Linked DNA regions of Coturnix japonica. The protein of the gene in region 1 purifies or fractionates together with the protein of each later gene. This does not show direct contact. Links are inferred from orthologs where the notes say so. Each region holds a gene or a part of one and is shown in the gene's direction. Other genes may lie near its edges. The genes, in order: ESPL1 and PPP2CA.

What was found.
Region 2: the proteins of ESPL1 (region 1) and PPP2CA purify together in Homo sapiens (affinity purification with mass spectrometry; 3 studies listed by BioGRID and IntAct, with this or other methods). This does not show direct contact. The link is inferred for Coturnix japonica from reciprocal best matches to the Homo sapiens genes ESPL1 and PPP2CA.

Annotation. Positions count from the first base shown.
Region 1 is NW_015439867.1:541,640-545,900, reverse strand, and holds the start of ESPL1 (separin), read left to right. Parts: upstream 1-1,297; 5' UTR 1,298-1,893; intron 1,894-2,521; 5' UTR 2,522-2,528; coding exon 2,529-2,609; intron 2,610-2,696; coding exon 2,697-3,728; intron 3,729-3,868; coding exon 3,869-3,973; intron 3,974-4,102; coding exon 4,103-4,223; intron 4,224-4,261. UniProt on the Homo sapiens protein: Caspase-like protease, which plays a central role in the chromosome segregation by cleaving the SCC1/RAD21 subunit of the cohesin complex at the onset of anaphase. During most of the cell cycle, it is inactivated by different mechanisms.
Region 2 is NC_029528.1:2,267,906-2,271,224, reverse strand, and holds the end of PPP2CA (serine/threonine-protein phosphatase 2A catalytic subunit alpha isoform), read left to right. Parts: intron 1-197; coding exon 198-359; intron 360-795; coding exon 796-914; intron 915-1,520; coding exon 1,521-1,593; 3' UTR 1,594-2,705; downstream 2,706-3,319. UniProt on the Homo sapiens protein: Catalytic subunit of protein phosphatase 2A (PP2A), a serine/threonine phosphatase involved in the regulation of a wide variety of enzymes, signal transduction pathways, and cellular events.

The DNA of each region.
Region 1 (4,261 bases):
CCGAGTCCCGCCCACCTCCTCGTAGCTCGCTGCTGATTGGCTCCGAGGCGGGACGGGAAGAGCAACGCCGCCTCCCATTGGACGAGCCACTCGTGGCAGGTGAAAGACGCGCTGCGATTGGTCCGAGGGTGGCATCAACTCTGATCGCTGCATCTCGGTTGGGATGAAGTTCGGAGCTCAGTGACCTCGAGATCAGGCATTTCCAAGCGGGACAAGAGTTCGGCCCGTTGTCTGTTAAATCATTGTCTGTCAGATCATTGTCTGTCAGCCCATTGCCGGCCCATTGTCGGCCCATTTTCGGCCCATTGTCAGCCCATTGCCGGCCCACTGTTGCTCCTCCACCATCACCCCCAACACCTTATTCCGAACCCTCTGATCCCCCACAACGGCTCCTCTTGTCCCAAAGAGAGCCGTGACAGCCAGAGAAGCTCTTAAGGACATCGAAGGGGAACGTGCTGGTGCCCTCTGTTAACATGTGATGCTCTCTGTTAAGGTATTGATGTCTTCTGTTAAGGTATTGATGCTCTCTGTCAGCCTTTAGTCCAGTTCTGCCCGCTGTGTGGATCCCATCTCACGGGCTCCACCAAATCAGTGCAGTTTTCCTGTTGTTCGTGTTTCTTTTCATAGAATCATAGAATTTCCCAGGTTGGAAAAGACCTCGAAGATCATCACGTCCAACCTCCGCCTAATCATAGCACCATAACTAACAACCCTCTGCTAAATCATATCCCTGAGCACCACATCCAAACGGCTCTTAAACACATCCAGGGATGGCGATTCAACCACCTCTCTGTTTAGCCTATTCCAGTGCTTAACTACCCTTTCTATGAAGAAGTTCTTCCTAACATCCAACCTAAACTTGCCCTGGCACAACTTGAGGCCATTTCCCCTCATCCCGTCACTTGTTGCTAGTGAGAAGAGACCAGCCCCACTCTCACTGTAAGCACCTTTCAGATACTGGAAGAGGGTGATAATGTCTCCCCTCAACCTTCTTTTCCCCAGCACAAACAGCCCCATCTCCCTCAGCCTCTGCTCATAGGGCTGATTCTCCAAGCCCTTCCCCAGCCCTGCTGCCCTTCTCAGGACCTTCTCCAGCACCTCCATGTCCTTTTTGTACTGAGGTGCCCAAAACTGAACACAGCACTCGAGGTGAGGCCTCACCAATGCTGAATACAGGGCAGGATGACTTCCCTGGTCCTGCTCACCATTCCTGGTACAAGCCAGGATGCCATTGGCCCTTTTGGCTCATATTCAGCCCACTGTCCATCAGCACAACAAGGTCCCTTTCCATCAGGCAGCTTTCCAGCCACAACACCTCAACCCTGTAGGGCTGCCAGGGGTTGTTATGACCAAAATGCAGGACCCGACATTGGTCCTATTGAAACTCGTGCCGTTAACCTTGGCCCATCCAGTTCCCTCTGCAGTGGATACAGCAGCACACGCTGATAAGGACACGTTATCACACGTTGTGTGCCCGTTCCTCCCGTCCGGGCTGTGTGGGCAGCGCTGAGCAGCGATAACATCCCAAGGACGGAGCAGCGCAGGGGAGGGACGGGGCGGCAGCGCAGCCCCATAACGGCGGAGCTCCGTTCCGTTCTATTCCATTCCGGTCCGTTCTGTTCCGGTCCGTTCCGCAGCTCCAGCCTCACACAGCCCCTCCTGCCGGGCCCGACCCGCTCCGCTTTCCTCGGTCCCGGTCTCGGTCTCGGTCTCGTTCTCGGTCTCGGTCCCGGTCTCGGTCTCGGTCCCGGTCCCGGTTCCGGTCCCGGGGCGGAGCTCAGCACTACAAGTCCCGGCGTCCCCCCGTTGCGCGCTGATTGGCTGCGGGACAGACTTGAATGGGGCGCGTGGCGGGGCTGGAGCTCAGTTAGAGGCGGCGGCGGCGGGGACGGAGTGAGTCCGAACCGGGGGGAGCGGGGGGTTTGGGTACCTATAGGGGGGGTGGGGGGAGAGGAGGGATGGGGGAGAAGGGATGGAGGAGCCTGCGGGGCCCTGGGGGCTGGGAACGAGGAGTTGGAGGGAGCGGGTGCGGGGGGAGTTTAAGGAGGCCCCGGGGTGGGGGTGGGGGGGGCAGTGGGAGTCTGGGGCGTTAGGATAAGGGTGGTGTAAGAGTGGGGCTGGGTGTGGGGCTGCGGTCAATGAAACGGGGAGCTGATGGCACAGAGGGGGCTTCAGTCCTTGGGGAGGCTGAGGATTGGGAATGGGGGGGATTGGCGAACCTTGGGGGGGAGAGAAGAGCCTGCTGGGTGGATTGATGTGGGGGGGATGGATGTGTGCCCTAAGGAATGGCTTTTGGAGGAGAGAGGGGGGTCTGATACCTGAGGGCCGCTGGGGGGCTGTGGGGTGGTGGAGAGGGGGGGTGGGAGAGAGGAGAGAACGGGGCTCAGGGGGTCCCTGAGCACTGAGAGGGCAGCCCTTGAGTGGTGGGAAATGGGAGTTCAGGCTGGGGGGGTTTCACGCAGTGGGACATCTCTGCCCCCCCCTTCCTTCTCACCTCACTCCCCCATCTCTGTCTCCCCAGTGCTGCCATGAAACGCCTCAAAGGTGCCAACTTCGTGTCCCGCACCGCCAGCCTGGAGAGCACAGAGGAGCTGCTGACTGAGCTGCTGGTGAGCTGAGGGGGGTTGGGGGGGTCCCACCTCTTTGCTGAGCGACCCCTGATTGCACACTCGTTCCCTCTTTCTGCTCCCCTACAGCAATGCCTCTCCAGCAGCACAGCAGTGCAGGGCAGTGCACAGAGCACAGTGTGCGACCGCATCCTGCGGGCCTGCGTGCAGCGCGTGGGGGAGCCCAGCTGCGACCTCACACACACCAACGCAGTGATGGCCTTGGCCGAGGCAGCCTGCAGGGGCTTTGTCTGCAGCAGCACTGCCCCGCCGACCCCTCTGTACCTGGAGAAGATCCTCTTCCACCTGCTGAAGAACATGGCTGCCCGTGGCTATCGTGACGCCTGCAGGAGGGCAGCGGAACTCATCCTCGCTCAGCTCCGCGCTCACCAGCAGCACCACGCGCCGTCACCCAACTTCAGTGCTATTGCCCACAGCTGCTTCTCCACGCTGTGGGGCACCAAGGGGACGCTGCGGGACCGCCTGCAGGCCCTGCGCTTCGTGCTGCTGCTGGAGGATGAGGAGGGGGCCGCGCTGCCCCTGGTGCCGCCCTTCTTCACCTCGCAGGTTGCCCGGCAGCTGGTGGCTGTGGCCTCCACTCTCTCCAAAGCCTCCCAGGCTCCGTCCTTGTCTTGCCTTGGCCGGGAGCTGCAGGGTGTCCTGACCTCCCTCCGTGAGGACATGGCGCGGCCGCCCTCTCTGCCGCAGGCCCTTTGCTTGTTGGAGCTGCTGTTGGAGCAGTGCCGGCAGCTCTGCAGGGGAGGCTGCTATGGGGAGGCGGAGGCGGCTGTGAGAGATGCACGAGGATTCCTGGGGGGCTCCAAGGTGTGCAGCGAGGCCCTGGCCCTGCTGGAGGCTGGCGTGCAGCTGAGCCGGGTGCTGGCCCAGAAGGTGGGCTCAGCAGGGCCGGCCCTGGCGCAGGCAGCGGCAGCGCTGGGTGGTGCAGGGAAGGTCTCGGGGCGCATCCTCAGGGTGCTGGCTGAGGGCTGCCAACTTGTCACCATGTCCCTCAGTGAACGTGCCAGGAGCAGCCAGCAGCAGCCGCTGCCTCCGGAGGATGTGCTGCAGCTCTGTGCCTTCGTGGAAGGGCACTGCCGTGTCCTTGGCCTGCTGCTGGCCATGGTAAGGCTTTGGGGGTTAATGAGAGCTCTCCTGTTAATTAGGAGCGCTGGAGGCCTTGTAGCCCTGCCAGCAGTGTCCCGCTTCCCAATGGTCATGCTGCTGTTGTGGCCTCGCAGTTGACTTTCTCCTTCCTCCTTCAGGTTCCTCCTGATGGCACAAAGCAGCGGCTTGTGCTGAAGCAGCTGCTGCACCGCAGCCTCCAGCTCTTCACCAGCTTTGCCTGCGATACCTTCCGCTCCTCCCAGGTACTGCTGGTGATGGGGGCAGCATCCAATGGGGCTCACAGAAGCTCCTGGAGCTGCCCCAGAGATGTGCCCTCAGTCCCTGCAGGGCTCTCCATGGGACCCCCATCCCTCTGACTGCATCCCTTGCAGGTGTCTGGGTGGTCGGGGCAGCAGCAGCTGACATCAGGCTGCCGGGACACCGTGATGCAGATGCTGGATGTTCCGGAGGGGCTTCCTCAGGGGGAGCAAGTCAAATACCTCGACCTTACCGGTCAGTGTCCTCGTGGCACCAAGCCTGCTTCCTTGGCA
Region 2 (3,319 bases), on another chromosome or scaffold:
CCTTGTTAGTATTTCAAGCTTTAACTACACTAACTATTGTAGGTGGCAGGTGGGGTTTTTCTTACGTTATTTTGCCAAGCCTTAAAGAGATGCTGAGGTGTGAAGGGACAACGTGAGTGTGTAGGTTATGTTTTTTGTTCTTGCCTTTTTTTTTTTTTTTGCTTCAATTTATGAAACACTTTCCAAATCTCTTACAGGGTCCAATGTGTGATCTGTTGTGGTCGGATCCAGATGATCGTGGTGGCTGGGGAATTTCTCCTCGAGGTGCAGGTTATACATTTGGACAGGATATTTCAGAAACCTTTAACCATGCTAATGGCCTTACGCTGGTTTCAAGAGCCCATCAGTTGGTAATGGAGGTAAGCAGCAAAGGCTGTGTGTTTAAGCTGTTTATAGTGTAGTCAGTTGTTGTGGTGCCCGAGATGTGCACTTGGCCTCTTTACAAGGTTTGTGTGTGGTTTTCTTCTTGGTTGTTCCTAGAAGTTAACCTCTAATCATCAAAACCAGAACCCACACCTTTAAAACATCGTGTAACTCAGAATTGGTATTTTAATTTTTAACAAAGTAGTGGAGAGAGAAGTCTTGCTATTTTTTAAATGTGCTTATCTAATGCTTACTATAGGATGATGTTATATGCTATGGTATGCAATTCCTATTTTCCCTTTTCATTTGAGAAGAGAAATAGACACAGAGCTTAGTGTTACTTAAAACTGCAAAGCCTATGTAGTTTAGTAGTAAGTTACGGGGTGCAACAAATGAATGTGGTTTTCCTAAATAGTTTATTTTCCTCTCCAGGGGTACAACTGGTGCCATGATCGGAATGTAGTAACAATTTTCAGTGCTCCAAACTATTGCTACCGTTGTGGCAACCAGGCTGCAATTATGGAACTTGATGATACTTTAAAATACTCCTTGTAAGTACGCTTAGAAATGAGGTCTGTGTTGCACATGATTTTAAGATCTAATAAGTGGTATTTTGCTACAGTAACTAATTGTGGTTTTGAGGTAGGGTTTTTACCCTGTACACCTTCAGGAGGTGACCTGACAGTGGAATGGTTGGGCTACTCATATGTAAGAAGCTTTACAGTCAGATATTGGAAACTGTTGTTGCTGACATCTGGACAGCTGTCATTAAGCTCATTACATACAATAAAGTCAGAGTTTAATGAAATACTACAGAAGTATTTCATTTTAAGTTGGATTACCTGAGGTAATTATGCCCACCTTTAAGTCTAGGGCAAGAGACTGACAGTCTTGTTAGGATGTTGACTTCTGGAGCTGCTGTAGCAGTTTTACTAATAAATGAGGAATTGTATAAAGTACTGTGTAAATTAACTCTTTGATAATTACTGGAGGCTCCTAGCGTCTAGATGTATACTGATATCTGACCGGTTTGAGTCGTAAAGCCAAGATTTGTTTCTTCCAAGTGCATAGAAATAATCCATAGATAAGTTTAAAATACTTCTGAAAAAATACCTGCGTGTGAATGGGATGCTGCCATTAATACGTGTGCTTCTCAGTTTGCAGTTCGATCCAGCGCCGCGCAGAGGTGAACCGCATGTGACTCGTCGCACCCCGGATTACTTCCTGTAAAGAGATTATAGACCTGTACAGTATTGCCATGAACCATATGTTGACCTAAAGAAAATGGGAAGAGCAACAGTAACTCCAAAGTGTCAGAAAATATTTAACATTCAAACTTGTTTTCACATGGACCAAAAGACGTGCCATATTCAAATACAAAGCCTCTTGTCGTCAACAACTGTGACCACTTTAGAATGAACCAGTTCATTGCATGCTGAAGCAACATTGTTGGTCAAGAAACCAGTTTCTGGCATAGCGCTATTTGTAGTTACTTTTGCTTTCTCTGAGAGACTGCAAATAATAAGATGTAGACATTAACACCTCGTGAATACATTTAACTTTCCATTTAGCTATAGCTTTATTCAGCATGACTGTAGATAAGGATAGCAGCAAACAATCATTGAAGCTTAAAGAACATTTTTAAAATAAGTACCAAGGCTTCATATTTGTTCTGAAACTTGTTTGTTTGTTTTTGTTTTCAGGGAATACCGTTTAATTTAATTGTATTGATTTTTTTTGTCTGCACTCAGTTCCCTTTTCCACTCTTTGCCCAGCCATTTTGTCCCTTGTAATTGTCGGAGCTTAGTGAGTTACTTTGAACAGAACTGTTTTTTTTCTGTAAAACAATGTTACTGCAGGACGGAGCTGCAGTGTTTTTCATAATAAACTTGTGAACTAAGTATGGAAAAATGTCAAATTCTAATTGCATCTCAGGTCAGCTCTGGTTTAATAAACGAATGCACAGCTGGGTAGGTTTTATAAACCTGGAGAGAAATTTCCACCGGAAATAATGGAAAAAACAAAAATGAGGTGATTGGAATGTGCTGGAAAACTGCGACCTTCTGAATTCTGCCCTGGTGAGATGCCCGGTCCTGCGGTGTGATGTAGCTGAGAACAGAGCTCACTCACCACTGAAATGTTGCTCTCTTTTTTTTTTTCCCCTCTTGGTGCTCTGTGAAATGTTCAGAAGTAGAAAAATACAAATTAACTGATCGAGCATGGCTGTTTTTCAAGTGTAAATCTGAGTTATTTCCATTGTAGGTGCTAATACTTCAGAAAAAATCTGAAAAACTAAGAATAAAACCAGTTTTCTAAATATTAAAGGAATAACTTGAAATTCAGTACTATGTGTATTGCCCAGGCTTCCGTTACAAAGCTAAGTGTGATTTGTGTTAACTTCTGTTTAAAAGCTTTTTCTTTCCCCTAATCTGAATCTGGTGACGATTTTGTTCAAAACACATTCAAATGTTCTGCATTATTAAGGCTCCTGCTTGCAACTTCTTACTGGACACATCTTAGAAGAGCTTAGTTGGCTGTTCGAAAGGAGGCCCCAATGCTATTCAGACTGTTTAAAAGACTCTGGCTTTTGGGCTCAGTGTGACAAAACAGAGGGGTGTTCTTTCTTATACACAGAAATGTGTGCAGGTCTGCCTTCACACACTTTTTTCCTTGCTTTTCTGAGGTTTTCTCTTGAAGGGCTGCGTAATTGTCAGACTTGCAAGACACTTCACAACTCATTAATTCACACCTTTTCTGGAAGGTTTGAGGGGTTACTTTTTTCTTTAGCAAAAATTCTACCTTCAGGTGGAGCTCCAAACTGTTTCTGGAAAGCTCAGTCCTGCTGAAGCGTGACCTTTTACAGGGAGAAGAGCATTCTAAAGCTAATGCTCACGTGGAGGTGTTCCTTTTGTTGTTGTTTATATCTCATATGTTGGGAGCTTTTGATCACTAACAA